4 linked regions of the Tamandua tetradactyla genome follow. The protein of the gene in region 2 interacts with the protein of the main gene of each other region in a pairwise test. Links are inferred from orthologs where the notes say so. Each region holds a gene or a part of one and is shown on either strand. Other genes may lie near its edges. The genes, in order: NUFIP1, FMR1, CYFIP2 and PICK1.

What was found.
Region 1: the proteins of FMR1 (region 2) and NUFIP1 interact in a two-hybrid assay, tested with the Homo sapiens proteins (2 studies listed by BioGRID). The link is inferred for Tamandua tetradactyla from reciprocal best matches to the Homo sapiens genes FMR1 and NUFIP1.
Region 3: the proteins of FMR1 (region 2) and CYFIP2 interact in a two-hybrid assay, tested with the Homo sapiens proteins (2 studies listed by BioGRID and IntAct). The link is inferred for Tamandua tetradactyla from reciprocal best matches to the Homo sapiens genes FMR1 and CYFIP2.
Region 4: the proteins of FMR1 (region 2) and PICK1 interact in a two-hybrid assay, tested with the Homo sapiens proteins (2 studies listed by BioGRID and IntAct). The link is inferred for Tamandua tetradactyla from reciprocal best matches to the Homo sapiens genes FMR1 and PICK1.

The regions. Positions count from the first base shown.
Region 1 is NC_135330.1:113,890,590-113,898,517, forward strand, and holds the start of NUFIP1 (FMR1-interacting protein NUFIP1), read left to right. Parts: upstream 1-4,924; 5' UTR 4,925-5,302; coding exon of another isoform or gene 5,303-5,390; 5' UTR 5,391-5,605; coding exon 5,606-6,029; intron 6,030-7,928. Other genes in the region: GPALPP1 (GPALPP motifs-containing protein 1), read right to left, coding at 5,303-5,390. UniProt on the Homo sapiens protein: Binds RNA.
Region 2 is NC_135353.1:9,407,036-9,413,941, forward strand, and holds the start of FMR1 (fragile X messenger ribonucleoprotein 1), read right to left. Parts: upstream 3,007-6,906; 5' UTR 2,934-3,006; coding exon 2,883-2,933; intron 1-2,882.
Region 3 is NC_135346.1:38,357,409-38,364,267, reverse strand, and holds the start of CYFIP2 (cytoplasmic FMR1-interacting protein 2), read right to left. Parts: upstream 3,016-6,859; 5' UTR 2,928-3,015; intron 1-2,927. UniProt on the Homo sapiens protein: Involved in T-cell adhesion and p53/TP53-dependent induction of apoptosis. Does not bind RNA. As component of the WAVE1 complex, required for BDNF-NTRK2 endocytic trafficking and signaling from early endosomes.
Region 4 is NC_135333.1:30,396,013-30,404,006, reverse strand, and holds the start of PICK1 (PRKCA-binding protein), read right to left. Parts: upstream 3,010-7,994; 5' UTR 2,794-3,009; intron 2,788-2,793; exon of another isoform or gene 2,643-2,787; intron 2,474-2,642; 5' UTR 2,417-2,473; coding exon 2,376-2,416; intron 1,338-2,375; coding exon 1,226-1,337; intron 1-1,225. UniProt on the Homo sapiens protein: Probable adapter protein that bind to and organize the subcellular localization of a variety of membrane proteins containing some PDZ recognition sequence.

The sequences.
Region 1 (7,928 bases), on a different chromosome or scaffold from region 2:
GGTTTTGCATTTCCAATTATATTCTTGCTTAGGGAAAGCAGAAATCATATCTTAGCATAACTAGGATATTCACAAGAACACTAATACCTGATTTATAAATATAAATATAGCATATAATTTCCCCAGCAACATGCAATTTTTTTCATTGTTTGGTACACTTGCCAAAATAGCTAAATGATTTTTTTCCTTTATAGATAGCATATGGTAGACAAAATTACACTACCAAGCAAACCAGACCAACAAGTTGACTATTTCATACTCTAATATATCAAACATAAAAATATCCATTCTGGTTTCTAATTAAAAAGAAAATCTTTACTGGCATCACCATACCAATCAGTTAGTGTTCTTTCAAGACAATTTAAGCAGAAATAAAGTCAGAATCACTTTTAAGTTTTACTGCTTACTAGTAGAGATGAACAGAAGAGAAAGAGATTGTACTGGGGTGGGTGGGATGTTGGGGACTTTGTTAAAAGTCCCTTAGGCCCACTCACCAAAGTGACCTGCTCTCTTGTTATACCCCAGCAAATTACAAATTATTATATGACGTCACTCCATGATGTTGTCAAGTCATAGAGACACAACTTCTGTGTTGATCCTGAGTAGTAATACTAAAGGTCTACTGCCAGGAGGGCAATGGTGGCTCAGTGGCAGAATTCTTGCCCGCCATGTGGGAGACGCGGGTCTGATTCCTGGAGCCCGTCCATGCCACAAAAAAGTCTATTGCCACATATAGGCCAAACACCTGATCTTGAGGCTTCCTCTTATGAAGTTTATGTATGCAGCAGAGAAGCTTAGCCTACCAGAGGTAGGCCTAAGAGTTACTTCTGGAGGACCTCATCTCTTGCTCAGATGTGGCCTCAATTCTCTCTAAGCCCAATTCTGCAAGTGAAATCATTGCCCTATTCCCTATGTGGGACATGACATCCAGGGGTGAAATTCTTCCTGGCGGCATGGGAGATGACTCTCAGGGATGAGTATGGCCCTGGCTCCATGGCATCAACAAAGCCATCCTGACCAAAAGGGGGAAAAAAGTGTAACAAATAAGGTATTAGAGGGGTGAGAGAGTTCAAATAGAGCCGAGAGACTACTCTGGAGGTCCCTCTTACATAAGCTTCAAGTTTCAGTTAAATATTGCTACCTATCATAATGTGCCATACCCCAACCAAAACCATTCAAGCTAATCCTAATGACTACCTAGGGCAATGTATAAGATTCCATCTCCCTATCCCATATTACTGATAGTCCTTCCAACATGAGAAAGTTAAAATGGCCATAGCCCAAACACCCTTAAAGAGCAGGACAGAAAGATCAAAGATGATGGTGGACTTATAAAGAGAAGATAGGGTTTAACAAAAGAGTATGATTGCTAAATCATTATACTGATATTTCTTTTAGTCTCCAGTATCTTAGAGCAGGTAGAAGTAAAAACCTAAAATTGCAGAATTGTAACCCATACAAAACTCTGAAATGTTGTTGTTCAAAGTGTCGTGCTTTGAAATTCATTGCTTTTTTGTATGTATTTCATTTTTCACAAAAAAGAAAAAAAAAGTCAATTGTGATGATAAAAAAGTATTTATTCCTTTTAACCGCCAATGTTCTGGAGCAGGTAGAAGGAAAAATGTGAGATAATGGTATGGTAGCCCATGACAAACTCTGGAATCTGTCTTATAACTACTTGTTGAAGAGCACTTTGAAAATTATTACTTTTTTCCTTTCTTTGCTTTGTATGTATGTTACTATTGCCAATGTAGATCAAAATGGAATAAGAAATAAAGACCACCATAATGGTGAACTGATAGGTAATTATAAATAAAGTCTTTTGCCATAATTTCCAAGTCTGGATGCTTTTCAAGAACCACTAAAATATATATTTTTTAAAAGATTCCTAAGCCATTTCCCCAGGGATTCTGATTGAGTTGGTCTGAGTCAGAACTGGAAATATGATTTTTTATTTGTTTATTTATTTTTAAAAAAGACTTTATTTATTTTATTTATTTTACATGGGCAGGCACTGGGAATCGAACTTGGGTCTTCTGGCATGGCAGGCATGCATTCTTGCCTGCTGAGCCACCGTGGCCCACCTGAAATATGATTTCTTAAAGAGCTTCTCAGATATGCCATATGTTCAATGATAACTTAATAAATAAAAGGAAAATAACATGTTTTGGGTTCTTATGCATTATATGTGATTTTAAGAAATTCATATGAACTAACCTATTTAATTTGACATTATTAGAGAGGTATTGTATAATAAAGAACTTGGCTGGCCTTTGCACCTGGTTCTTGGGAGATATCCTCTAAATCTCTGGAATTTCCCATGATAGACCATGCCCTATCAGCCTGACCTCAGGGGAGAGGAGAGGGCTGGAGATTACATTCAATCACATGGGCATGGGTTCAATCAATCATGCCTGAATCATGAATCCCAATAAAACCTCTGGATGCTGAAACTTGGACGAGTCTTTCCTGAGTAGTAACACATGTCAGTGTGCTGGAAGAGTGATGCTTCCAGACTCCATGGGGAGAGAAGCATGGGAGCTTTGTATTTGGTGGCACTCCTAGACTCCCCATGTATACCTTCTTTCGGCTGGTCCTGATTTGTATTTCTTTTGCTGTAAAATAAAACTGTAATCTTAAGTATAGCACTTTTCTGAGTTTTGTAAATTAGGGACTCCCAAATTTATAGCCAGTTAGTCAAAAGCGAGAGTGACCCTGGGAACCCCAGAACTTGCAGCTGGTGTCTGACATGAAAGTGGTCTTTTGAGGACTTGAGTGCTCAACTTGTGGAGTCTGGCCTGATTTTCAGGTAATCAGTCAGAGTTTCACAGCAGCTGGTATCAGAAGTTACCGTGAGAGGTGTTACTGTTATTTCTATTTTACAGACAGGTAACTGAAGCACAGGAAGGCTAAATAATTTGTCTGACTTCACACAACTAAAGAGAGGAGCCAGGATATGAATATAGGAGTCAAGAGCCTATACCCTTAACCACTATACTATCCAACATTCAAGAATTGTCATCCATCCATCCAACAAATACTTTACTGGGTAAATACTTCTAGAGAAACAAACATAAAAAGACATATTAGCGCAGATGGTTAAAGTGCTGTTATGCAAACAGGAAAATAGGGAAAAAGTGAGTGGATATTTAGGAGGGTAATTTTACATGGAGATTTGAGGGCAAGTCTGTTGGAGGTGAAGGCTGTTGGTGGGCATGCACCAAGCTGAAGGGAAAGCATCCAGATGGGAGCAGCTTTTGAAAAGTCCTACAAAAAGGGAATAAGCTAGATGTGCTCGAGGCCAAAAAGTCCAGTGTGGTTAACAAAATGACAGAAGAAGAAGGTGGATGGTACGAAGGGGAACAGAGCATGCTTTCATGTCAGACACTCTGGATTAGAATTTCAGCTTGGCCACTTACTAGCTGGGTTAACTGGTTAAGTTGCTTAACCTTTCTGAGATACTCTTTCTTCTGTTAAAACAAGTTAGCAGTATTTCCAAATTTCAGAGGACTCTTGTGAGGAATGCATTAGTTAATATATGTAATACACTTAGCACAGGATAAAGCACACAGTAAGGAGGTTCTAAGTTGGGAGAGACTTGACCTGAATTTGCGGATAAGAGGGGTTTGGAGGTGGGGGGAGGTGAGTTAGAAAAAAAAAAGGCTTATAAAAAATGTTATATTTGCAACATACTTTGAAGGAAAAGCAAAAAGGACCTGATAATGGTTTGGATCTGAGGGCAAAAAGAGGAAGTGAGATGGCTCAGGGTTTGGGCTCCACTGGCTAGCCAGGTGGGTGGTCATGCCATTCTCTAATATGGGGAAGACTAGAGAAGAGAGGATGGGGGAAAAAGTCAAGAGCTTTGTTTTTCACATTTTAAATTTATGATACCCATTAAAAATTTCAGTGGTCCTGTCAGTGGTACTTTAGGGAGCAAATCCTGCCTGAGATTAATACAGGGAATATAGGGGGTGCACGAGTAGATCAATCATAGAATAGCTGCCTGTCATACAAACCTGGGTTTGATTCCTGGACCATGCATTTCCCCGCCCCACACACAAGAAAAATAAAAAAAATTCCCTATGATACATATATCACATCTCTGCCTCAGGGTATATGTTTAGATGTAGAGATACATAAATGTAGGGAGACACATAAAAAAAAGTAGGGAATATAGTGAATCAGAAACAACATGCATATAAGAACCCAATCAGATAATTTGTTTCCACACTCTTCTCCAACCTTCTTTGCTAAAATAAAACATGACTTTTAGTGGCTATAACAAAAATGAGATCTGGAAGGAAAACCTTTAGGTAGAAACATGGCTGTGTGGCAGTCAAGCAACAAAAATTAGATCCAGAAATGAGAGACCTACTCTTTCTGCATTATTTTTCTCTAACTATAGCGTCGGTCCTAGTCTATAGCTAAAACAATAAAGGAGATAGATACGCGTGGAGGAGTCTGAGAAGCATTTATTTGGTAAACAAAATGTTGGCTATGTGTTAAGGCTAGAAGGCCATAGTGCAGTGGGGGAGACAAATAATTTAAATACACTGCATTAAATATATGATTTAATTAAATAGGGGAAAAAAAACCCTGTGGGGAAAGATGAAGGTGTGACAAAGCATGGGATAGTTCGGAATGACTTCAACTGGATATTTAAATTTGGATCTTAAAGGATGGATAGGAGTTTGTCAGGTGTGTTAAGATATGCCAACAGAGAGAGGTCAGAGGGACCCTAGAATATTAATAACTGTACAGAAATTTGGTCTGGTTTGAGCACTGTGTGCCAGACGCAATGACAGAATGAGAAGTTAAGGAAGCAGGTGTAGAGCCAGAGAACAAAGGATTTTCTGTGAAGGTCTTGTACGTCAGAAAACAATACCGCACAGAAGTTAGGAGTACGGGTTCTACTGTTCTAATTCGGCCTCCACCACATGCACGCTGTGATCTGGGCACCTATCTCGGCCTCGGTTTCCAGTTTATGATATGGGAATAGTAATAGTCTTCACCTCCTATAATTTCTGGGAGGATTAAATGACTGTGAGTCAACCGTTTAGCCCAGCGTCCGGCTCATATTAGCGCTAAATTAGAACACATCAACATCATAATGATAACCCAACGAAAGCTCGCGCAACGCTACGGGTTTTCTGAGGATACCCCACCGCCACCTACTTGCTACTACAGCTTAGGAGGGAAAATTACAGCTGCGGTCGGGCCGCGCCCACTCCCGGGTCCTCCGCCCTCCCGGGGGTCTCCTTACTACTGGGTCGGACCAGCAAGGGGGCACGCCTCCGCCTACCCGGGCTCGGGTCCCGCTCCTCGTCTTCGGCTGTCCCGCGGGCATTGAAGCCAGGAGGCAGCGCCGGCCCGATCATGTCCCTGGCCATCTGAGGTGGTCGACACTACTCACGCACAAATATATTCTATTCGCGCAGCTGCAAATCTATCCGAAAAATGCCCAGCGGAGCGCTGCGAAAGCTTTAAGTTTTTCCGGCGCTGACCAATGACATAGCGGCCTGTGATTGGCTACATTGGGCAATTCGCGCTAACGGAAGTGACGGCTAAAGGTTGTGCCAAAGTCATAGGTTAGGTTCCCGACCTGATGGACGGCGTGGCTGAGCCGGCTGGTGGAGTTTTGACTCCTCCGGGGAGTTTTCCGCCTCCCCAGCTGAACCCCGCGTTGGGGTCGCTGAACAACGCTGCCCCACGGCGGGACAACTGGGTGCTCTGGGCAATGCTGCAGCCGCCGCCGCCCCCGTCTTCGTCCTTGACTTCCACGGTCGGGTTAGAGCCTTCCTCGGATTCGCACCCGCACCTCGCGGCCCACGCTCTCCCCGGGGTGCCGCCCCCCTTCGACACTCAACTTCTTCCCGGAGCTCAGCCCCCCTTCGATGCCCAGTCTCCTCTTGATTCTCAGTCTCGACCCAACGTCCAGCCTTCCTGGAATTTCCAGGCATCGACATCATGGTACTGGAGACAGTCTCCTGAAACGTTTCCTCAGCATCAGAAGTCCCACAACCTTCACGGTAGGCTGTTTTTCCTCACAGTATCACCCCTTTACCTATCACCGGCCCCCTTTCTTTTTCCCTTCCATTTCTGCTTTCCTTCGCTTTCTGCACTTCTGATTCTGCCCTGCACTCTTGGAATCTGGTCGTTAATGTCTCACAGTATGTCCTGCTGGAATATTTTCTCCTTCTGTCCATTCGTTTTAGAAGTTATTTATTGAATTTCAACTAAGTACCGGGAACTGGGAATATAGCAGTGAACAAAACATGCAGAAATCTTTTTCTTTATGGAGCTTAACATCTTAGGGTGGACAGACAATGAACAAAGCATATTGTGTATTTGAACGCAATGAGTGTGATATAGAGAGATAAAAATGATAGTGCAGTTTTAAATACAGTGGTGGGGGGATGGTCTCATAAGAAAGGTGGGATTTGAGCAAAGACTTCAAAGAGGTGAGCGACCAAAATTATGGCTCTATGGGGGGAAGGGATATAGGTAGAGAAAACTACATGTGCAAAGGCCTTGAGGCAAGATATACAGAAAAGAGTGGAGTCCTTGGTGGTTAGAGAGAAGTGGGCCTAGTGTAGAGTAGTAGAAGAGGACAGACTTTGTAGTTTGCCTTGTAGACCATTGATGGAACTTTCATTTGACTTTTACAGTGGGTAGCCGTTGACCCGTTTTGTTCAGGGAAGAGATATGTGCTGATTCAAATTCTAAAACGATCAGTCTGGCTAGAGTAATGTAATTGAAAGGGCAGTCAGTTAGGAGGCTGTTGCAGTTATCCAAGGGAGAGATTTGGGGGACGTGGGCTAGGGTGGAGCTGGATGATGAGAGGTAGATGGATTCTAGATATATTTTGAAGATAAGGCCAGTATGAATGCTGAGGGTTTGGATGTGGAATGTGAAATGAGGAGATGAAGGTAACTTAAGTTTTTTCCCGACAAAGAGCTGAAATTGAGATGGGGAAGACTGAATGGAATGTATTTGAAAGGGAAGAACAAGAGTTGGGTTTGGATATGTACATTCAAGTAGAGTTATTGAATAGCTGCTAGCTATGAGACTGTACTTTCAGGAGAGATGCATGGCTGGAGCTGTTAAGTTGCCATCATTAGCATGTATATAGAAGATATTTAATGCCATCAGCTTGTTCACATAAAACCATTCTCCAGAATTTCTCCAATTGCACGAAATTCAATTTAGGTTAAATTAAATCTAAACACTCAGTGAGTACTGTGTGTCAGTTGGGGAAATATATGTGTGGCTAAGACCGTCCTAAATTGGGTGAGATAGGTTCATATATATGTATAAATTACAATATAAGTATGACTGGTGATAGATGCGTATAAAAGGTGATTCATAATGCAGAAGAAGCAGCTTTTGGAAGAAGTTTCTTAAGGAGGTGTAGGATTGGGGGGAAAAGTGCTTTCTAGGTAATGACAGAGAGATGTCAGTACAAGGGTTCTGGAGGAAGGTTATAGAGGCAAAGCAAGCTGAAAAAATAAACTGGAATCTCATCAGAACACTCCAGAAAGCCATTTGTAGATTTTTGAGAGGGTAGTGTCATGATTGGAGTGTATTTTTGGTGTCATTGTATGGGATCAGTTGGAGAGGAGAGAACTTAGGAACTGAAAGACAATCTGGGAGAATATTACAGTAATCTATATGCAAGATCAGGGTTTCAGAGTTGGATAATGGCAGTAAGAATGGAAAGCAGCAATAGGATGTGAGAGAAGATGTACAAGGTTTCATTATCCTTGTGTTAGAGTGATGTTGGCAGTGCTGTATCAGATTTTACTGTTTAAGTTTCTGATATTCAGAATAACTGAAAGGAATTTCATTAGGTTATTGTCCATTTCTATACCTAAAACATCTATGGACCTGTTATCTCACCAGTATTTTTTCTTTTGAAAATATTTATT
Region 2 (6,906 bases):
CATTTTATTTCTAAAATGGAGTTAATTCATTACTATTCCCAACACATCAAAACTCCCAGTCCAAAGAAACTACATTACTTTGGGCAGATGCCCCTAGAATAAAGATCCTACCTCAATATTATTTACATAGGAAATTCTTTGTAAAGATTTTGTAAGGTATAATTCAAAGTGTCATGTCTTAAATAATGTAAGGTTCTATAAGTGGTACACATGATTTTTTTTTCCTAAGTCAAAGAAATATGCGAGCAAAAAGTAGTGGCACTGATAATTACTTCCATTTTCAAGTATTTAAGAAAAAACACAAGGGGGAAAATATAGTGGACTGTAACCATCTTAACAGTTTGGGTTTCATGGTTATGTTAATTTTGAATCCTGAGCTTGAGTTATTTTCTAGAGAAAAAATAAAACCGTTACCAATGTATAAGCTATCTAGTTTATATCACAAACTTGGACCACGTGCTCAGAAGATGGAAAACTGTCCTTTGCAATGTGGTGGGTAGGAAAATCAAAGTTTGTATTCAATTATACCAAAGTCATTGATTTGCTGATACTTTCTAAAGGCTTTTCTATCAATTTGATGAATAAGTTTCCTGTTTTTCTTCATAAATACAACATAGTGCTCCATAGTATTCATTTTTGATTGGTCTTTATTTCCCATCTTTCCTGTCCAGCCCTAGGACATAATAATGACAAGCAACTATTTACTGTTGCTCTACTTTTAAAACTACAGCAATATTCCGAGTCTGATAAAAATGGACAATTTTTTTTCATTATAGAAATATTTTTCATCTACACAGATCATTTGAGGTTTTGTTAAAGTTAAATCTTAATTAAAGGAACACAACAGCAATTTCTCTACAGACATTTGTTCAAGTTTTACCTTTCCCGTCAAGGAACTAAGGAACAATCCATTCTTTTTCATTCACCCTCAAATCAGGCTACTTTGTTAAAAAACAAAAACCAATAAGGGGTGGGGAGCTTAATAGCAAAGACGTAAGGCATTTCTTATATTCCACCCAGTTTGTAAGCAAAAATCACTGGAGCAAATCATGTGTTGCTAGAAGAGAACAATAAATGCTTCAAGACCAGGATATGCCACTTGGCCCCTTTAGTGAACTAGCAAACCCCACTAAGACAACAAGAGCAGCATCCAACAAGAGTGGCATTCAAACATCATTTAGACTACTGCTCAACCATTAGACCCTACTTATATGTATATTATGGTTAGCTCCACAAATCTAGAGATCAAAACTACAAATCCTGGAGCCAGAATTACTGTACACAAATCAACTAGTAGAAGTAATGGATCACCAAAATAAATGCAACTGAAATTTTGATGGCAGGGTCAACTGAAACAATTTTATATTGATGACACTCTGTTAAGAATATAAATGCTGGGCTGTTTCACAGCCTCCTTTTACAACAAAACTGGAGTCTACAGACCTTACTCATTTATAAACTATATCTACCTCTAAATTCCTGTTAAATTGGGAAACATCTAAGTCAAATACTTTAAGTCAACTGCTTGCTTTCCTTTGGCCAGATAAGTTCCGTTTGAAACGTTAAAGCTAACCTAGAATCAATTTATGAATTGTGTTGGACAATGGCAATAACTAATTCCAGGCTTCCTTCCATGTGCACCGTCTACTGACAAAATACTGTAGTAAGGTGGGATATTACAGAAGTTATACAGATATAACCAAGCGGAAAGGAAAATTTACAGATTAATAGATCTACAGTAAATACCTACCAACAAACGCACTACTGATAATCAAAATATTATTTTTAATCTTGTCTTTTAAAAATGTAAGATACTAGTTGATCCAACAATGGTGTAACTTAAAAAAACAATCCACAGCACTCATTAGTATCTATTCAAAACCTACACAAAACAGTCCTCTGCAGCATTACAATTCAAAGAGAAGAGAGTTAAATACTTAGAGGGCAAAACAAATTATTTCCAAACACTCGAATTTTAAAAATTCCCTAGTAATAACGTACTCTCAATTAATTTTCTGAAGTTTTATGGTATATATTCAGGTCTTTGGGGGCTTCATATTCTTTATTCTTTTAACTAGCAGGGTTGTTTAGATGCTTTAGCATCAGTATTCCTGAATTTACCCACCTTAAAAAAGAAAAAAACTGGGGGGGGGGGGCGAAGATGAAAGAGGAGCAACTTCTTCTGCAATGCCTTGCCCAGATATGTTAGGGTCTTTTTGAAACTTTGGAGTCTTAACATCTCTTCCGAAATCCACAAAGAGCGACCACTAAAAATCAGTTGCCATTGTGATTTGGTGCTGACTATAAGCTTCTTACTACTCTTTACTCACACCCCTTGCCCAGAACGGCGGAGCTCTCCGAAGTCCCAATGCTGGACCGGAAAAGAGAAGCCAAAGGAGACCTTAAAACCTCTTTACAAGGCAAGAGACGGCCCGACAGAAGCGCCCGCCGCTTCTCAACAAATACCCACACATCGGGCCTGGATCCCATCGGGAGAGGACATTCAGGAAAAGAGACATAAGCCGTCGCCGTCACTTCGCGCGGATTCTGGCCCTTCCCGCCGGGATCTTGTACCTGCAGCCAGCCCGGGCCCACCCCCAGCTCTCCCCGGCCGGGTGGCTTTGGCCCCGAAAGGGAGCCTTCTCCGTGCGGGTTTCTCCTTCCTCCAGGCGCCGGGGCCTCTCGCAGGAGAAGGAGCGGGGCTAAGGGGCGTCCTGCAGGCCCCGAGTCCGGTCCTTCCCTCCCAAACAAGATCCCGCTGAGCGCGCCCCGGCCCCGGGCGTCAGGCTCGGGAAGAGGGCCCCAGGCCTGCCTCCCGCCGAGCAGAGAAGAAAAGAGAGGGAAGGGAGGGCGACGATGGGGCCTGCCTGAGAGCCAAGTACCTTGTAGAAAGCGCCATTGGAGCCCCGCACTTCCACCACCAGCTCCTCCATCTTCTCGTCGCCCCTGCTTGCGCCGGGAGCCCGCCCCCGGGAGGTGGGCTGCAGGCGCTCAAGGCCCAGCCGCCGCCGCCGCCGCCGCGCTCCCGCACGCCCCTCGGCAGCGGCGCCGCCGTCACCGCCCGCGCTCGCCGTCGGCTCGCCGCCCGCTCTGAGGCGGCCCCTCACCGGAAGTGAAACCGAAACGGAGCCGAACGCCTGACTGAGGCCCAGCGCCGGGCAGCTTCGCGTGTAAACAGTCAAGCGGCGTCACGTGACCCACACCCCCATCTCCCCGCCCCCCCCCCACTGCCGCCCCCCCCACCGCGGGCTCGGCCCCTCAGCCCCGCCCTTTCCCTCCGCGCGGCCTGGAGCGCGCGCGCATGCGCGATGCTGGGAACCGACCGGGGTTCCGGGCCCGACGTAGGGCGCGCGGGCTCGGCGTGCGCTGGGAATGACGGAGGGCGGGAAGGCGGGAAGGCGGGAAGGGCGGTGATGGGCCGTGCAGCTAGAGGAGGTCGCGTCGCTTTGCCAGTGCCTCCTTCCGTACTGGGGCATGCGGAGGCGTGGGAAAGGACCCCTTGAGCGATAGACTGCATTCATGGGTTGGAGGTGGACGGGTTGTTTTATTTTATGTTTTAAGCAAGTCCAAGCCTGATGGAGCTGGAGGTGGACTGGGTGGGTGGGGAGGGAGAGAATAAGATTGAAGCAAACCGTGAACTGCTCACAGCGGCAACCACGTTAACCCAGGCTTGTGTGATTCTCAGAGGCAGAGAAGTGAGAGTAACGCCCACCACCTCCTTCCTTGAGAGTCTGGGCTGACCTGGGACTGCTATCCCTACGTTCCTTGACCTGTAATGGATTGTGTCAGGACCTCTGGGAATTTTAGTCCGCTCTCAGACCCAAAACTGACCCACATACTCCCCGTCCTTCAATTAGTTTCATTTTTTACGTGACGTTAAAAAAGAAGAATGCGCCAATCATTTTCTTTTTTATAGTTCACTTCCGCCCCTAATGTATGTTCACCCAGTACCAGAGGGTGTGGTGGGCATGTTTGTAGCACAGGGGATCTGTGTACAGGGACCTTGCTCGACTTGTTAACTTGCAACTGCCTCTCTCCTTCGCTTCTTACAGTAAAACAAATCCCAGCGTTCTCGCTCCTGACTCACAGTGGTGCTGGTTTCCACCTGACACGTGTTGCCTTTGTCTGGGACGCTTGGATTCAAAGTAGAGGTTTACTGAGCGCCTACCACCGTGTGCTGAGCACTGTGCTGAGTGCTGGTGATACACTGGTTAACGACAACAATAAAAAAAGACTGTCAGCATTGAACTTGGGACCTAGATGAACATCAAAGTCAAATGATCAAAAAGGCAAAGGTGTGATAGGAGCTATGAAGAATAGGTTCACCTATGATAGTGGGGCATGAACCAGCCTGGGATGGGGGACGGGTGGCCAGGGAAGGGGAAACGACTGGAGCTGGAATGTGAGGGGTGTGTTAACTGGTAGATGGATAGCACCGAGCTGGGGGAGGGCGGCGAACTGCCCCAGGCAGGTGTCGGAGAATGCGAGGCATCCTTGGGCCTCCACTTTCTTTCCCACCCCACTACCAGCCAGAGGAGCAGCCAGTCCTGGTGGAGATCCAGCTTTAAAGCAGCTGATCTGAGGGCCACACTCCTTTGAGGAAAGATCTCCTGGACTAGGGTCTCTAGAGTCGTCACAGATGCGAAGACCCCATCGGGCTGTCCTGTCGTAGGCTGGATGGGAGCAGTGCGGTATCTTGAACTTCAATGTTGTAAAAGACATGTTGATTTCGAACGATTATACTTTCCACGCGTAAACTGCTGCTCAATTTACCCGGTGCTTTCAAATGTATCAGCTCTTCACAACCACCTTTCCTCCCAGCCACCCTGATTCTGGACCTATGATACATTTTCATGCACATACTTCCTGTCCCCTAGAATACCCTGCCCCTTACCCTTCCTTATCAGCTGGATTTCTGTTAGTAGCTAATTTACCTCAGGGGAAGAGTTAATTTTTCTCCTCAATTCTCTGCACATTGTCATCATTAGTCCCTGCAAGGATCCTCTCTTGTTTATATTACTTAATATGGTTTATATGATTTTTCCTTGTCATCTTCAATCTTTGTACTCCTTCTTCTAGGCACCCGCATCGATGTGTTTGTGATAGATCCTTGGTAATTTAAAGCTTGCAGTGCTTTATGAATGCCCTTTCCATTTACAGAAATACTATTGGATTGTGAGTCTCTGTTTCCCACTTTTCACACTCAACACTGTTTTTTTTGAGCTGTAGCCACATTGCTGTGTATACATCTAGTTTGTTGTCTCCAATTGCTGCTGAGTATTCTATAAATTTTACTTATAGCTTTCCCTAGTGATGGGCATCTAGGTTGCCACCTACACACTCCAGTGCCACACTGGGATGGAAAAAAAAAAACTCTCCTGTGAACGCCTTTATAAACCGTTGCAAAAATTCCTTTTGTGCTCTTATAGAACATTGCACATACTGCCTGCTTCCTCATCACACCCCTTGGCATATAGCTGGACCCAGTAACTATTGAATACCCCTACTGTGATACCTAAGGTACTGGAATTACTTGTTTATATTTGTTTCCCTTAATGGGCTATGAGTTTCCTCAAAGCAGAAAACTTATCTTTGTGTCCCTGGGACACAAGTGATTGATTTCAATAGCTGTTACATTTACTAACATCAGGTCTACAACAGAGTCATTTTGACTTTTGTTCTTTCATGCTCTGCATATGATCCATCAGCAGATCCTTTCTGAGTCCAGAATCTAATTACCACAACTTCCACTGCTAAAACCAGGGTCCAAGCCCCTACGTACCCTCTCTTCCTGGATTACTACAATCACTTCCTCCTCGTTGGTCTCTCTGCTGCGGCTCTTGAAGACAGAGTGACCTTGTTCAGGTGTCAGTCAAGTCACTATACTACTCAAACTCTCCAATGTTTCCTAAATCCTTCAGAGTAGAAGTCAAAGTCCTTATTTATTCCAGCCTCAATGCCCTGCACAGCCTGGTCCCTGTTACATCTTCTACCTCACTTTCTACCTTTTCTCCCCTTACCCCGCTCCATTCCAGCCACACTGGCTTCCTTGCTGATTCTTGAACACACAAAGCCTTTCTGTCTCTTCTCACTAGAGTGTAAGTTCTTTGAGAGGAGAGGTTTTCTTTGTTTTATTCACGGCTGCGTCCTCCGTGCCTAACACAGAGTCCAGAACATAGTAGGTGCTTGCTCAATATTTGGTGAGTGAATGAATGAAGTGTCGATGAGAACCTGGCTCCGGGCAAGTCTGCTCCCTTACCTATATTTATCAGATACCAGGATGCTGCTTCAGCTCTTCTGGCCCTGTCTTGGCCCCTAGCCTCCATGAAATAGCTTCCTGTTGTCTTTGCATTGATTTATTCTGTGTTGTTTCCTGCTCCTTAGCAATTTGAGCCCTCCGAGTCTTTGTTCTTGCTGTAATCCCAGCTGGAAATGCTCTCTGCCCTTTCCAACTTTAGAAGGTCTATGTATCCTTCAGGGCCCAGCCAAAGTCTTACTTTTTTCATGACACTTTCTCTGACGATTTCTCCTCACCTTGACCTCTCGTTTGAACTTGATGTCAGAAACATAATTTAATTAATAGACTTTCTTTTTTATATTTATTGAAAACCTGAGCCAGGTAGTACAAAGAGTTCTTGAATATTCCTGGAACCCCTCCCCATACTCACAGTTTCCCATATTGTTAACATCTTGCATTAATGAGCCAATATTGGAACATTGCTTTTAACTGAGTCCATCGTTTACATTAAGGTTCACTCTTTGTGTTATACAATTCAATGGGTTTTAACAAATGTATAATGTCATATATCTGCCATTAAAATATCGTTCATGATAGCTTCACAGCCCTAAAAATGCCCTGTGCTTCCCCTAGTCATTACCTTCCTTTACCCCGCCCTACAAACTTGT
Region 3 (6,859 bases), on a different chromosome or scaffold from region 2:
AACCTGGAGCTGGGTTTCTTGGTCAGAGACCAGTTCCCTTCATAAAGCAAAAATTCAGGAAAGCTCTGGTGGTAGAGGGTTGGTAAGCGCTATGGGTTAAACATATTTAAGCCAAATTCTTAATGATTATGTAATCAATATATTATAACAAAAATAGTACTGTATGCTAGACACTCTGCTTAGCATGCTTGCGAATCTCTCATTTAACAGGAGCATCCAATTAAGTGTCAGCTCCTTCTCCACCACAGCTGACCTCCCACATCACTGCCTAGAAGCCAGCAGCACCCGCCACCCTCTCCCACCACCTCCAGTACTGACACAGGGTCCATCTCTGGACCTGAGACATGGCTTTGCTTCTTGGAATGAAAAGACCAAAGGCCTTTCACAAAAACTCTAATGAGGTGACTGATGTCTGGTTTCATCAACTACCAAGTGAATAATTAATACGTGCCAGAAAAAAAAAAAAATAGACTCATTGTTATGGTGACCACATGGAGGTCACCATTTTGTGAAGTTCTTGGTGGAACCCCAAGGCCAAAAGTGGCCCAAATAAACCTCTTTGAGCATGCAGGCCAATCCTGAAACATGAAAACTAGAGCCCTGCTCTGTTTTCCAGGAGTGTGTCCCCAACGTTGATTAGCTTGTTGCCTTTTCACCACCTAATTCTACTTGCTGGTCAATGACAGCAGCAGAGGCCCACTGAACACCTGAGAGGACACGATATATCAGAGGGGACATGCAGTAATCTCCCTGGGCCCTTTTCTAGTTTTTATATTCATATCTATTTACTTCTCTGGGCCAGCCTCAGATCGAATCTGAGAAAAACTCTCCAACCCTAGTGGATTTTATACCCACTCTGGGAAGTCAGTAATCTTGGCCTAATGCCTAAAGCAAGCTTTTTTTCCTTTTCCATTTTCCAGCAGGGACTGAACAAGGCAGGCTTGGGTGCCTCCGGAACCAGTCAGAACTGGCCAGGAAACATAATAAAGAAGCTTAGTGAGCAGAGAGCTCCCGATCCCAGCCAGAGGCTCAGTGCACTGGCACTGAGTGAGCAGAGACACCAGCTTGGAAAGCAACAACATACTCTTCTGGTGGCTGGGAACTGCCCAGCATGTGGCAGCCAGTGCCGACCTGTAGTTCTCTATAGGAAGTTTCACCTCCCACAAGTGGACACTGGGTGCTCAACAGATGTCTCCTGGTGACAATGACTCTGACCAGACATGCATACACTCCTACATATTCCTGCCCTCAGGGCCAAAACTGCCCTTGCAAGTACACAGAGCTGAAAGCTGCTAGAGGCTGTCATTTCAGGGACAGCTGCCCCCCACCCCCCCCCACATTTCCAGCCTGCTGTCTGAAATTCCACCATTAGAGATGTCAATATTTTCACTTAGAGCTTCGTTTCCCATTAAAATGTCTCCACCCTTTGTTTCCTTTCTAGTCAAATGACTTCTCAAGCACCTGCTCTTAATCAAGTGAGGAAGTCTTTTGTATTTAAGCTCTTCAGAAGGAACAGGTTCACAAATTTTGACTTGGGAGAACTTTGACTTGGGAGAACCGGGGAAACACAGGGCATTTACGCAAGTGGGGGTGGGAGTCCATAGAGAAGGGGTCTGGTGGTGGAGAAGACTTCAAGGCCTTCACAATCTTGACCAAGAATATGGACCTAGATTTTCACCCTCCAAGATCTGAGGGCTCTGGGACCCAACTTGCAACGTGACCTGTGGTCAAGAGTATGCTGAGATCCGCTGCCTTACAGGGGATGCAGGCGGGAGGTGGCAGAGGGGAACGCGGGCGTCAACACTCTCCTGATTTGCCTCTCATGCCAGCAGGACTGCTCCAGCCTCCCTGCCCACCTGTGAAGGTGCAGACAGCCAGGAGCTGATAGGAAGGGGAGCTGACTGCCCATCAGCCTGAGTGAGTTTCCACCCTGCTGGGGAAAACAGGCAGGCAGAGGTCAAAGTCAGATTGCCTGGGCTGGGACTGGGCACCTGGGCACTCCCAGTGTTCTTCCCAGCCCCATCCTTCTCCTAGCTATTCTTCAGGCCCCGCTGGACCATACCGGCCCCCACCCCAAAACCACTGCACCCCCTTCTCCTCCTTTATAAATAGGCCGGCTTACCCACTGAGGGGAAGGGCTGTTCCTGACCAGAGGAAGCTACTAGGTAGTTAGACAGGTAGGCATCTTCCTGGTTCTTCAGAGCTCAGAAAACCCAACCTTTCTCCCAGGAGTCAGCCCCCTCATTGCATTCTCCCCACCTCCTCCCCCGCCCCCACGCGGCCGGGCGAGAGAGGATCCGGTAGGCCAGTAGGCTTCAAAGCGGGTCAGAAGGGTGGTGCCTCCTCTTCTCATGAAAGCGCCCCACTCCCAAACGTCTCCGCTTCGCCCCTCGCCCCACCCATCTCACATTCACCGCAGGGCGCTCGGTGCCCGAGGCAGCTACCAGGCGGGCCCAGGCTGGTCTCGCTGGCCCTGGGGGAGGTGACGGTGGCCCCGGCGGAGGCGGCCCGCGGCACCTGGGCGCAAGGATGTCGCCGCAGCGGTGCTGGCGGCCGCTGCAGGTGTCTCGGGTCCTCAGGTTTAGCGCCGCCTCCTCTCCCGCAGGCGGCTACGGCCCAGGCCGCGCACCTGCTGCTACTGGGGCCGCCGCGCCCGAGCTCCGCCGTGCGCCCGCGCGTCCTTGCAGAGGGCCGGCGCGTGCGGCCCAAGCTGGGCCGGAGAGCTAAGGGAGGCGCCCCGGGCCCGGGGCCCGGACTCCGGGGACTGCCGGGGAGCCCCCAGGCCGCTAACCCGGGCGCGGCGCCCAGTGCCCTCCACGGGCTGGGAGATAAGATGCCGGCTCTTCGCGCGTCCTCACGGCCGCATCCCGGTCACCATCAGCATCCCGACCCCGGATTGGGTCCCCAGGCCGGGGAATGGCGCTTACCTGGGTTTGCGGCAGGTCCAGGGCCAGGGCCCGAGGCTACGGCAGGGCCCCACGCCGGGGCGCAGGATGCTCTGCCGGGCTCCGCTCTGCTGGCGGCCCCGCTCGGCCCCGCCCCGGGCCCCGCCCCGCCGCCAGCCGCGCTCCGCCTCCCTCCCGGTGCCCGGCCCGGTTGCCACCGCGGCTGTCACACAAAGAGCAGGAAATGGCTGCGGCGAAGGGCTCTCGGTACCCCTAGCGTGCATCTCACGAGGACCAGTCGGGTTCCCAGGCCATCCTGCCGCCCTGCTGCCGGGGAGGAAAAGGGAGGGATGTTTTTACCCCATGTCCCCCATTTCCTGGGACCCACGCTACAGCAATGGGGGATCGCAAGCTCGGACCCGTTCGAATTTCATTATTCTCACATTATTCCCAAGTGCTCATTTATTTAACCAGCCTTCACTGAGCACCAATTTTGTTTCAAGCCCCGTGCCAGGAACTGGGTATGCACTGGTGTATAGAAGACAGGGTCCCTGCCCTCTTGGAGCTTATCTCTACCAGAAGAGATGGGCATAAATTACATCTGGGAGAAGGACTGGAAAGAAAAGGAATAGGGTGAAATGATAGAAAATAAACCTGGGAGTTGATGGGGAGGGCGGCAATCACACTAGTTGAGGCTAGTCCCTAATGCTGCTCCTTTGCTCCGGAATAATTTCCCCTACCCTCTTTCAGTCACTTTGGGCAGAATCCCTGAAATTGTTACCTCTTAAGCACCAGCGTGCCCCAGCTTCATCCAGTTAGAATTGGCTAGTGAACAAAAAGCAAAAATACGGTAACAGGAAACCTTCCTGGCAATGCCTGGGGGCCCAATAGCAACTGAGAGGATGTGTACCCACCCTTCTCTTTTAAATTTCTCTGGAAATTTATGGCTTTCCAAAGAAACAATTTTCATTGAGATGCAGCCTGGTGGACCTTCAGACCAGATTCAAGTCAGGCTGAGCCTTGCTTGTCCTAGCCTTGAGACTCCAGGCCAGTCAATTCACTGCTGTGTCACGAGATGCCCCTCCTCACTCACAGGTAAGTAATTTGAATGCATTTGAGACATTTTAAAGTGTATACAGATATAAGGGATAAAGTCTTGTTTCAAGGAGACCTTTCTTAAATGTTTGCCTAGGATTCACAAATTTATACTTTATCACTCTGCTATTCCTATTAAGGGATATTTATAGAGGAGCCACACTGTTCAAGGATCAGAAAAGACCTTATGTAAGTCTTTGCCCTTGCTGATTTTGCATAATTCCCAAGTGCACAGAATTCATAATCCTTGGTAATTTGATATTACGTTACTCATTCTGATTTAAATCCCTATTTCAGAAGGATGACATACACATACACACACACACACACACACACACACACACATTTCTGTCCCTGATGCCATGTGAGAAAGCTGTGGGGGAGTTTGTGGGGGATGATTTTAAGAACGGAAGTAAAGTTTCGTTTTTTTAAAAAAAATTGTTTTCAACCTTGATCCTTGGGATTTTTGAGTATCAGTAATTACCAGGACTTAACAATGAGAATCCTAATAAAATGGATTTCATTCTAAAAGACATATTATTTTGGATGTTTTCTTTTTCTGGAAGACATAGCTCACCCTGCTGTTCCTTCCTTGTCTTTTCACCAATCAGAATAAATTGCTTAAAAACAAAGAATATCATTGCATGCATACTTGGTTAGATCTTAGGCAACAATTATTCCCTGACCCATGAATTCTATATACGTATAAAGGAGAAGCCATATGGTTTGATTGAAACCATTTTGCTAGAAATGCAGAGATTTGTCTTTTGGTCCTAGTTTTGCAACTAATAGAAGAGTGACCTGTTTCTCCATCTATAAAATGCAGTGAGTTGGCTTTGCTACAAAGTTCCTACATGTGGAAAATTGCATGAGTTAAAAACAAAGGACAGATCCTTTCCTGGCTTAAAGCACGTCAGTAGTCCCCACTGTTCTCGGGATGAAGCCCAAACTCCTTGCCATGGTCTATCATGGACTTCATAATTTGGCCCCTGCCTTTCCAATCTTTTCTACTTGTGACATGCTCACTATGTTTCAGCTAAAAGAAATTTCTTCTAGTTTCCCCAACTTGGGGTGCACAGGTGGTTCAGTGGTAAAATGCTTGCCTTCCATACAGGAGACCTGGGTTCAATTCCCAGACCATGCACCTCACCCTCCCCCCAAGAAAGAAGAAGAGAAAAAAAATAAATACTAAGTCTCTTAGTTCCCACAATTTGCTGTATTTTCTCTTGTCTTTGGTCTTTGCCCGAGCTGAGCTTTTTGCTTAGAAAGCTCCTTTTCTCTCTCTTCTACAATTTTCCCCAGTTTGCCTATCTACTCCTCTTCATCTGTTGGTTATCCACAAAGATGTTACCTCCTCCAAGAAGCCACCTGTGATCCCTCCATGCCTTGGGTAGGTGTCTCTATCCTGGACTTCTCTATCATGACTTTTATTATGCTGTGTCACAATTGCTGATTTGCTTGCCTGCATCCATCATGAGACCATACAATCTAAGAGACAAGGGACTGGGTCTGCCTTGCTCCCCACTGTGTCCTCCAATCCTAGCACAGAGATTGGTAGATGATGGGAATGTAATCAAAATGGCCTACATGAATAATTGATAGAAGAAATGTTATTTTCCACTTTGTCAGTGAAATTTGTAGCTGTCTGTGTACTGCCTTCTTATTTCCTTCAAGTCCCACACTGATTTGCACCCTCAGCAATAAGAAAATTGCAGCTACCAAGTGAGAATTGCTCTGCCACTTGCAAAACTTTGGCTCATGCCTTGTGGTTCCATGTGAAGCAACATGGCCTTGGTTTTAGAAAAGGCTCACAGTACTTGGAACATCTAGGTTGTCTGCATTTAAAAACCATCAGCAGACCCTGCTTATTAGAAGCCAGCAGTGGCGTATCTGGAAAGGACATGGGAATTCGTTCTGGAGAGAGAAAATGTAAATAACAATTATGGCTAAGCTATACCAGTGCATTACCCCATTTGATTTTTCACAGTAGTCCCATGAGGAAAATATGATCATTAGTCCTATTTTATAACTGAGGAAACTAAGACAGGTTAAATAACTTGCCCCCTATAGTGAAACCAACACTGATGCTTTGACTGCTATTATAAGCATCCCCATGTCCCCTCTTCCAAACCAAATCCAGATATTTATCAACACTTTTCCCCAAAACATATTTAATGCAACTCATAAGGATGCATTAAATTAAAAGTTAAAAACAGCTAAAAAATTAATAGCAAAAAGAAAGAAGAGAAAAAATTCAAAAAGAGATGGAAAGAAAAATGTGAATAGTACAAAAATTATATGCCATGGTCTTGCTACAATAAGCTTACACATTTTTTGTTCTGTACATTCTTGTGGTTAGCAGGAAAAGAGAAACTCATGGTCAGTTACACAATTCACATTGCCCATTAGATAAAACCTGACCATTTGCTCAAAATTGCCTCATTTTACAGGTGAAAGAACTGAGGCCTAAAAGAGGATGTTATCCAAGGCAGGGCTGAACTCAGACCCCAGGTCCTTCCATGGGAAACCAAAGGGTTGCCTGCCACTGTCTTTGAATCTGAAATAATTTATTAAAGAATATATACATATATATATATATATATATTTTTTTTTTTTTTTTTTGCATGGCTGGGCACTGGGAATTGAACCCGGGTCTCCAGCATGGCAGGCAAGAATTCTGCCTGCTGAGCCACCATGGCCCACCCTAAAGCGTATATTTTAAACTAACATTTATTGAATGTTTATATGGGGCCAGTGTTTGTGCTAAGTACTTTATATGGATGGCCTCATTGCACTGCATTCTCACAAAATCCTAAGATTTTGTTATTTTATAGATGAAAAGCCGAGAACTGCATTGTGGCTGGAACATTGCAGTTCCC
Region 4 (7,994 bases), on a different chromosome or scaffold from region 2:
CACACAGTACTTTGATAAAATTAAAACTTTAACTTTTCAAAATCAACTGCATTATTTTTATAATCACAGTTCATCCTAAACAAACCTGGGCCTAGCACTGCCTCACACCCCTGAGAAGTGGGGAGGGAGATGGCAGGAAACACTGAGCAAATGCGTGCAAGGAGCCCAGGCCTGGAGGAGGCCTCCCCAACACCTACCCCTTGTTCATAGGAGGCAAAATGGCTCCTTGCAGAGGCAAGAGCAGGTCCTAGGAATTTCACTTCTCAGGGCCTAGAACTGACCTTTTTAACCCCTTTGCAAGTTCCTCAGAGGAACCTCAGTGTTCCTGTCTGCTGGCTATGACTACTTAGCTGAGAGGGTTAGCACACAGTAGAATCAAGATCAAGTTTACAGGGTAGGACATGATGGCCCAGTGGCAAAGTTCTCGCCTGCCATGCCGGAGACCTGGGTTCGATTCCCGGTGCCTGCCCATGTTTTAAAAAAAGATCAAGTTTACAGGCTCAAACTGTTTGAGGATGCAAGCTTCCTTCCAAGGGTAGAAAGATCGCCAACTCTGCCTAGCCATGTGGGGTACAGGAAGGCTAGCAGCAGGACTGGCCTCACTCTTAACCCCTGGAAAATGAGCTATTGCCATAAAAATAGCAATGGCAACTACCTAGTCAGTGCTTACTATATGCCCGGCATTGTGCTGTGTCGTTTTACTCAATCTTCATGACAACCTAAAGATGTACATACCTACATATTTAACACTCCTATCTTCCAAGTGAGGAGAGCGAGGCACAGAAAGGTTAAGGAGGGGAGCTTGCATTTGAATTCAGTCCATTATATCATAGTCTTTCCACTCCACTTAGGCTAGTACCTAAGGCTGCATGTTTTGTTGCTATTTATTAAATGTCCACTATATACCAGGCACTAAGCCAGATGCTCACTGCAGTGAGCAGCAAACAGGGACCCTGCCTCAGAGTACACGGAGACAGGCAGAGTAGCTAGAGATAGAACAAGTAACCAACAGATGATCACAGATGGCGATAAGTGAAGGAAAAGGACAGACTGAAACGATAGAGAAAACCTGAGTACTTAGAGGGAGTAGTTGGGAAGGCCTCTCTGTGGAAGCCAGACCTCAAGAATGAGGAGTCAGCTCTGCCGAATGGAGAAATGAACCTGCCAAGTAAGGAGACAGCTTACCCTTCCAGGACCTCATCCCCACTTCCAGAGTGCCCAGTACCTGGACGATATAGAGGCAGGGACAGTACTGGGCCCCTCCACCAATGCTGATCCCAATCAGGTTCTGAGCATCCTTCTGCAAGGTCACCTTTCCCGGCACAGTGGGGATCCCGCTAGAAAAAGAAGCATGGGAAGCTGAATCTTCTAGAAGAAGGACAACTGGAAGGGACAGGGCAGGGGATATGCCCACCAACATCCCCAAGAGGCTCCAACTGCAGCACAGCCTTTTCTCTCCTTACTTGGCCAGAAAGACAGTGTTTTGTTCTGGAAAGTACACAGCTTTTAGAGTCATGCAGATGTGGGATCAAATCTCAGCTCTGCCCCTTATCGGTAAAGGGACTTAAGTCACCCTCTCTGCATCTCAGCTTCCTCACCCAGAAAATGAGAATGAGACCAGTTTATCAGAGTTCATGTGGGGAAGAGAATGGAAGGCACTTAACACCAACCCAGTACATAGCAGAGGCTCCATAAAAGTAGGTTTCCCTTCCACCGCCCTCATTCTACCTCTGAGACTTGATTCAGGGTCTGTCCTTGTCACCTTCCCAGACTCATACAGAACCATTTCGTCAGGGAAGTGGAAAACTACCCACATGCCATCTTCAATTACTCTACATCTATAGTTTTCACTATAAATTGGCATTTCTTGACGTTTTATGGTAAACAGTCTCATTTAATCACTTACTCATTCACAAAACATTTGCTAACCTCCTTTTTTAGGTAAAGTACCTTACTAAATACTGACGACACAGAAAGGCACTGGACCCTGTCCTGGCTCTCAGACAAACCTAATCTTCAAAACTCTTGATGAATCTATTGTCTAGGTCAGGGAGGGAGGTATGGTTATGATATTCCTATTCATCCTTCAAAACCTGCCTCAATTGCCACCTCCTCTGTGAAGCCTTCCCTGAACACCCCAACAGAAGCACTGCTCCATCAGCTCTGCTTTCCTTCTACCCAGGTCATTCTCCTTAGAGGTCTTAAGGCCCTGAATTGTAAGTATGGTGGGCTCCTGGAAAGGTAGAGTCCCTTTCTGCTACAGCACAAGACCTGACTCATCGCTAAGAAGCAAGGGTTGGTGGAATGGGAAAGTCCAGGTATCTGAGCGACTGGGGTTCCTGAATTCCTGGGACTTGAGGGAACAAAATACTCACAGTTTATCTTCCTCGATGTCATAATCCAAGTCTGCAAACATGGTTCCGAGGGATGGAATGGGCTGATAAACAGCCCAGCTCGGGAAAGGAACGGGAAACTGAATCCGGGAGAGAAAGGAGGGTAGGGTTTGGGGAACCGTGGCGCCGGATGCAGAAGCCAACCCCAACCCTAATGCCAACCCCGCAAATCCGGGAGGGCCAGGCTCTCTGCTTCCCCTCAGGACGGAGCGTCCACAGGGTTGGGGTGGGGGGGTTGGTGATTCTTACTAGGTACAGGGGGGGTCTCCAGGCCAGGGCGGTGGGCTCACGTCCCGAAGCCCGCCCCACGGGTCTCCAGGGCCTCGGGGACTGCCTCTGTCGCTCGCCGGAAGCGTCGGCCCCACAGCCGAGTCCGGGCCAGGCTGGCACCTGTACCCACCTGCGGTTCCACCTGTCGGCGGCTGCGACTGTCGCGTCACTTCCGGCAAGGCGCGGAAGTCCCGCCTTTCCCCTCTTCAGGGTACTGGCCCCCAATTCCTGCAGGCAACCCTTCCTTCCTTTTCTGTCTGGGCTCCCAGAACCAGAAAAGAAAATAAGTATGGGCGGAGACTCGCCGCTGAGGCTAAAGAAGCGGAAACAGAGGGAAGGTCTGATCGGGTAGAAAACGCTCAGCCCCGCCCCTTATCCTGTTGCCGCCGCCATCTTGGTGAGGGCAAGGTTTTTCCCAGCTCCTTGGGTAGGATACAGGGCCCCACGCCTGCCAGGCGGTTGCCGTGCCAACGGAGCATCCTGTCCTGCTGCGAAGTTCAGTGCACTATAAATCAAAGACTTACCTTTCACACCTAAAGCCCCGAGTCCCAGGCCAAGCCTGGTGACTTCTCTACTACAATAACAACGTCAGAGCTGGAAAGGCGCGTCGAGATCCTAGCCCAACTCTAGCTTTGCGGACTAGAAAACTAAGTTCCAGAGAGGGAAGGAGATTTTACCCAGAGCACCCAGAGTTGCTATGAGATCCAGATCTTGACTCTGAGACGCCTGCCGCCTAATCCAGTGCCCTTTTAACATTTGCACTAAACTGGGAGTCAGGATCGCTGTATTCTGTGGGTCTGCGGCTAAGGATGGATTGGACCGTCTTCCTTTACATGCCTCGGTTTCCCCGTATGCTACCTAAGAGTGCTGAATTAGGTGATTTCTATGGCCTCCTTCACTTCTAGACCATGGTATCTGATGCGTTTTGACATCCTCACCTCCTTCCTTAGTCCTGAGGAGCAGCTCCCTGAGGGCCCAGTGGGGGCCACAGCCCCTGTGTACCTGAGGCTCAATAAACGCCATCAGTGATTACCAGCCGAGAAGTCCAAATCTCGTCTCCCTGCCAACCTCCGCTGCCACTGCTATTATTGTAAAGTGGGTTCCCTGGAGGAGGTCAGCTCTCCTAGAGCTGCAGCCCTGGCATCCACCTCATCTGGGAAGCACAGGCCGGGTTTGCCCAGCTTCCTCCCCTAGATGCACCCAGGGCCATGAAGGAAGGACAGATGCAGAGGGATGATAATCCACACATCCCACAGCCTGATGGAAGTCCCACTCAACCCCTCCTTAGGGACCTAATCTGCGTTGCAGCTGCACTAGCAACAACTTCCTATGTACCTCCTGCTCTGCAGCTCCCATTCACCAGATTTTAGAATTCACCATACATTTTTTTATTCAATCAGCATTTTTTATTAATTAAAAAAATTAACTAACACAACATTTAGAAATCATTCCATTCTACATATACAATCAGTAATTCTTAATATCATCACATACATGCATATTCATCGTTTCTTAGTACATTTGCATCGATTTAGAAAAAGAAATAGAAAGACAACAGAAAAAGAAATAAAATGATAATAGAGAGAAAAAAAGAAAAAAAGAAGAAAAAAAAACTATACCTCAGATGCAGCTTCATTCAGTGTTTTAACCTAATTACATTACAATTAGTTAGTATTGTGCTGTCCATTTCTGAGTTTTTGTATCCAGTCCTGTTGCACAGTCTGTATCCCTTCAGCTCCAATTACCCATTATCTTACCCTATTTCTATCTCCTGATGGTCTCTGTTACCAATGACATATTCCAAGTTTATTCTCTAATGTCGGTTCACATCAGTGGGACCATTCAGTATTTGTCCTTTAGTTTTCGGCTAGTCTCACTCAGCATAATGTTCTCTAGGTCCATCCATGTTATTACATGCTTCATAAGTTTATTCTGTCTTAAAGCTGCATAATATTCCATCGTATGTATATACCACAGTTTGTTTAGCCACTCGTCTGTTGATGGACATTTTGGCTGTTTCCATCTCTTTGCAATTGTAAATAATGCTGCTATAAACATTGGTGCGCAAATGTCCGTTTGTGTCTTTGCCCTTAAGTCCTCTGAGTAGATACCTAGCAATGGTATTGCTGGGTCGTATGGCAATTCTATATTCAGCTTTTTGAGGAACCGCCAAACTGCCTTCCACAGTGGTTGCACCATTTGACATTCCCACCAACAGTGGATAAGTGTGCCTCTTTCTCCACATCCTCTCCAGCACTTGTCATTTTCTGTTTTGTTGATAATGGCCATTCTGGTGGGTGTGAGATGATATCTCATTGTGGTTTTGATTTGCATTTCTCTAATGGCCAAGGACATTGAGCATCTCTTCATGTGCCTTTTGGCCATTTGTATTTCCTCTTCTGAGAGGTGTCTGTTCAAGTCTTTTTCCCATTTTGTAATTGGGTTGGCTGTCTTTTTGTTGTTGAGTTGAACAATCTCTTTATAAATTCTGGATACTAGACCTTTATCTGATATGTCGTTTCCAAATATTGTCTCCCATTGTGTAGGCTGTCTTTCTACTTTCTTGATGAAGTTCTTTGATGCACAAAAGTGTTTAATTTTGAGGCGCTCCCATTTATTTACTTCCTTCTTCAGTGCTCTTGCTTTAGGTTTAAGGTCCATAAAACCGCTTCCAATTGTAAGTTTCATAAGATATCTCCCTACATTTTCCTCTAACTGTTTTATGGTCTTAGACTTAATGTTTAGATCTTTGATCCATTTTGAGTTAACTTTTGTATAGGGTGTGAGATACGGGTCCTCTTTCATTCTTTTGCATATGGATATCCAGTTCTCTAGGCACCATTTATTGAAGAGACTGTTCTGTCCCAGGTGAGTTGGCTTGACTGCCTTATCAAAGATCAAATGTCCGTAGATGAGAGGGTCTATATCTGAGCACTCTATTCAATTCCATTGGTCGATATATCTATCTTTATGCCAATACCATGCTGTTTTGACCACTGTGGCTTCATAATATGCCTTAAAGTCCGGCAGCGCAAGACCTCCAGCTTCGTTTTTTTTTCCTCAAGATGTTTTTTGCAATTCGGGGCACCCTGCCCTTCCAGATAAATTTGCTTATTGGTTTTTCTATTTCTGAAAAATAAGTTGTTGGGATTTTGATTGGTATTGCGTTAAATCTGTAAATCAATTTAGGTAGAATTGACATCTTAACTATATTTAGTCTTCCAATCCATGAACACGGTATGCGCTTCCATCTATTTAGGTCTTCTGTGATTTCTTTTAACAGTTTCTTGTAGTTTTCTTTGTATAGGTCTTTTGTCTCGTTAGTTAAATTTTTTCCTAAGTATTTTATTCTTTTAGTTGCAATTGTAAATGGAATTCGTTTCTTGATTTCCCCCTCAGCTTGTTCATTGCTAGTGTATAGAAACACTGCAGATTTTTGAATGTTGATCTTGTAACCTGCTACTTTGCTGTACTCATTTATTAGCTCTAGTAGTTTTGCTGTGGATTTTTCAGGGTTTTCAACGTATAGTATCATATCATCTGCAAACAGTGATAGTTTTACTTCTTCCTTTCCAATTTTGATGCCTTGTATTTCTTTTTCTTGTCTAATTGCTCTGGCTAGAACTTCCAACACAATGCTGAATAACAGTGGTGATAGTGGACATCCTTGTCTTGTTCCTGATCTTAGGGGGAAAGTTTTCAATTTTTCCCCATTGAAGATGATATTAGCTGTGGGTTTTTCATATATTCCCTCTATCATTTTAAGGAGGTTCCCTTGTATTCCTATCCTTTGAAGTGTTTTCAACAGGAAAGGATGTTGAATCTTGTCAAATGCCTTCTCTGCATCAATTGAGATGATCATGTGATTTTTCTGCTTTGATTTGTTGATATGGTATATTACATTAATTGATTTTCTTATGTTGAACCATCCTTGCATACCTGGGATGAATCCTACTTGGTCATGATGTATAATTCTTTTAATGTGTTGCTGGATTCGATTTGCTAGAATTCTGTTGAGGATTTTTGCATCTATATTCATTAGAGAGATTGGCCTGTAGTTTTCTTTTTTTGTAATATCTTTGCCTGTTTTGGGTATGAGGGTGATGTTGGCTTCATAGAATGAATTAGGTAGCTTTCCCTCCACTTCAGTTTTTTTGAAGAGTTTGAGCAGGGTTGGTACTAATTCTTTCTGAAATGTTTGTTAGAATTCACATGTGAAGCCGTCTGGTCCTGGACTTTTCTTTTTGGGAGGCTTTTGAATGACTGATTCAATTTTTTTACTTGTGATTGGTTTGTTGAGGTCATCTATTTCTTCTTGAGTCAAAGTTGGTTGTTCATGCCTTTCTAGGAACTTGTCCATTTCATCTACATTTTTGTATTTATTAGCATAGAGTTGTTCATAGTATCCTGTTATTACCTCTTTTATTTCTGTGGGGTCAGTGGTTATGTCTCCTCTTCCATTTCTGATCCTATTTATTTGCATCCTCTCTCTTCTTCTTTTTGTCAATCTTGCTAAGGGCCCATCAATCTTGTTGATTTTCTCATAGAACCAACTTCTAGTCTTATTGATTTTCTCTATTGTTTTCATGTTCTCAATTTCATTTATTTCTGCTCTAATCTTTGTTATTTCTTTCCTTTTGCTTGCTTTGGGGTTAGTTTGCTGTTCTTTCTCCAGTTCTTCCAAGTGGACAGTTAATTTCCGAATTTTTGCCCTTTCTTCTTTTTTGATATAGGCATTTAGGGCAATAAATTTCCCTCTTAGCACTGCCTTTGCTGCGTCCCATACATTTTAATACACTATGCACCGGATCGCTGAGGATAAAACCTTACAAGGAGATGAACAAGGAAGCAAGCAATAACAACTGAAAGAGGCAAGTACAGTGTACTAAGAGACCACAGAAAAGAATCATCCTGGAACAAAGATTTAGGGGAACAAAGGTAGGAATGAAGAGGAGACAAATTATATATATATATATTTGGCTTATTTGGCTATAAAAGCCACAGGACTCTCTGGGCTTTTTTGATGAGAATAAAGAATGAATCTGAGGTCTCTAGCTGTGACTCCAAAGGAAATGGTCTCAGTAGCTGTTGGAGCAGGCTAAGACTACCTGCCCTATCACCAACTTTTACTTTTTTTTTTTTTTTGCCAGGGGGAGGGGGTGCATGGTCCAAGAATTGAACCCGGTCTCCTGCATGGAAGGTCTGTCACTAACTTTTGATTCATTAACAACTTGGTCAAAAGTGAAATTCCAAGCCTGGAGCCCTCTAGTGAAGGGAAGTGTGAGTGCCTGGCTGGATTGGTGTGGAGTAAGGAAACACATAAGAAATTGC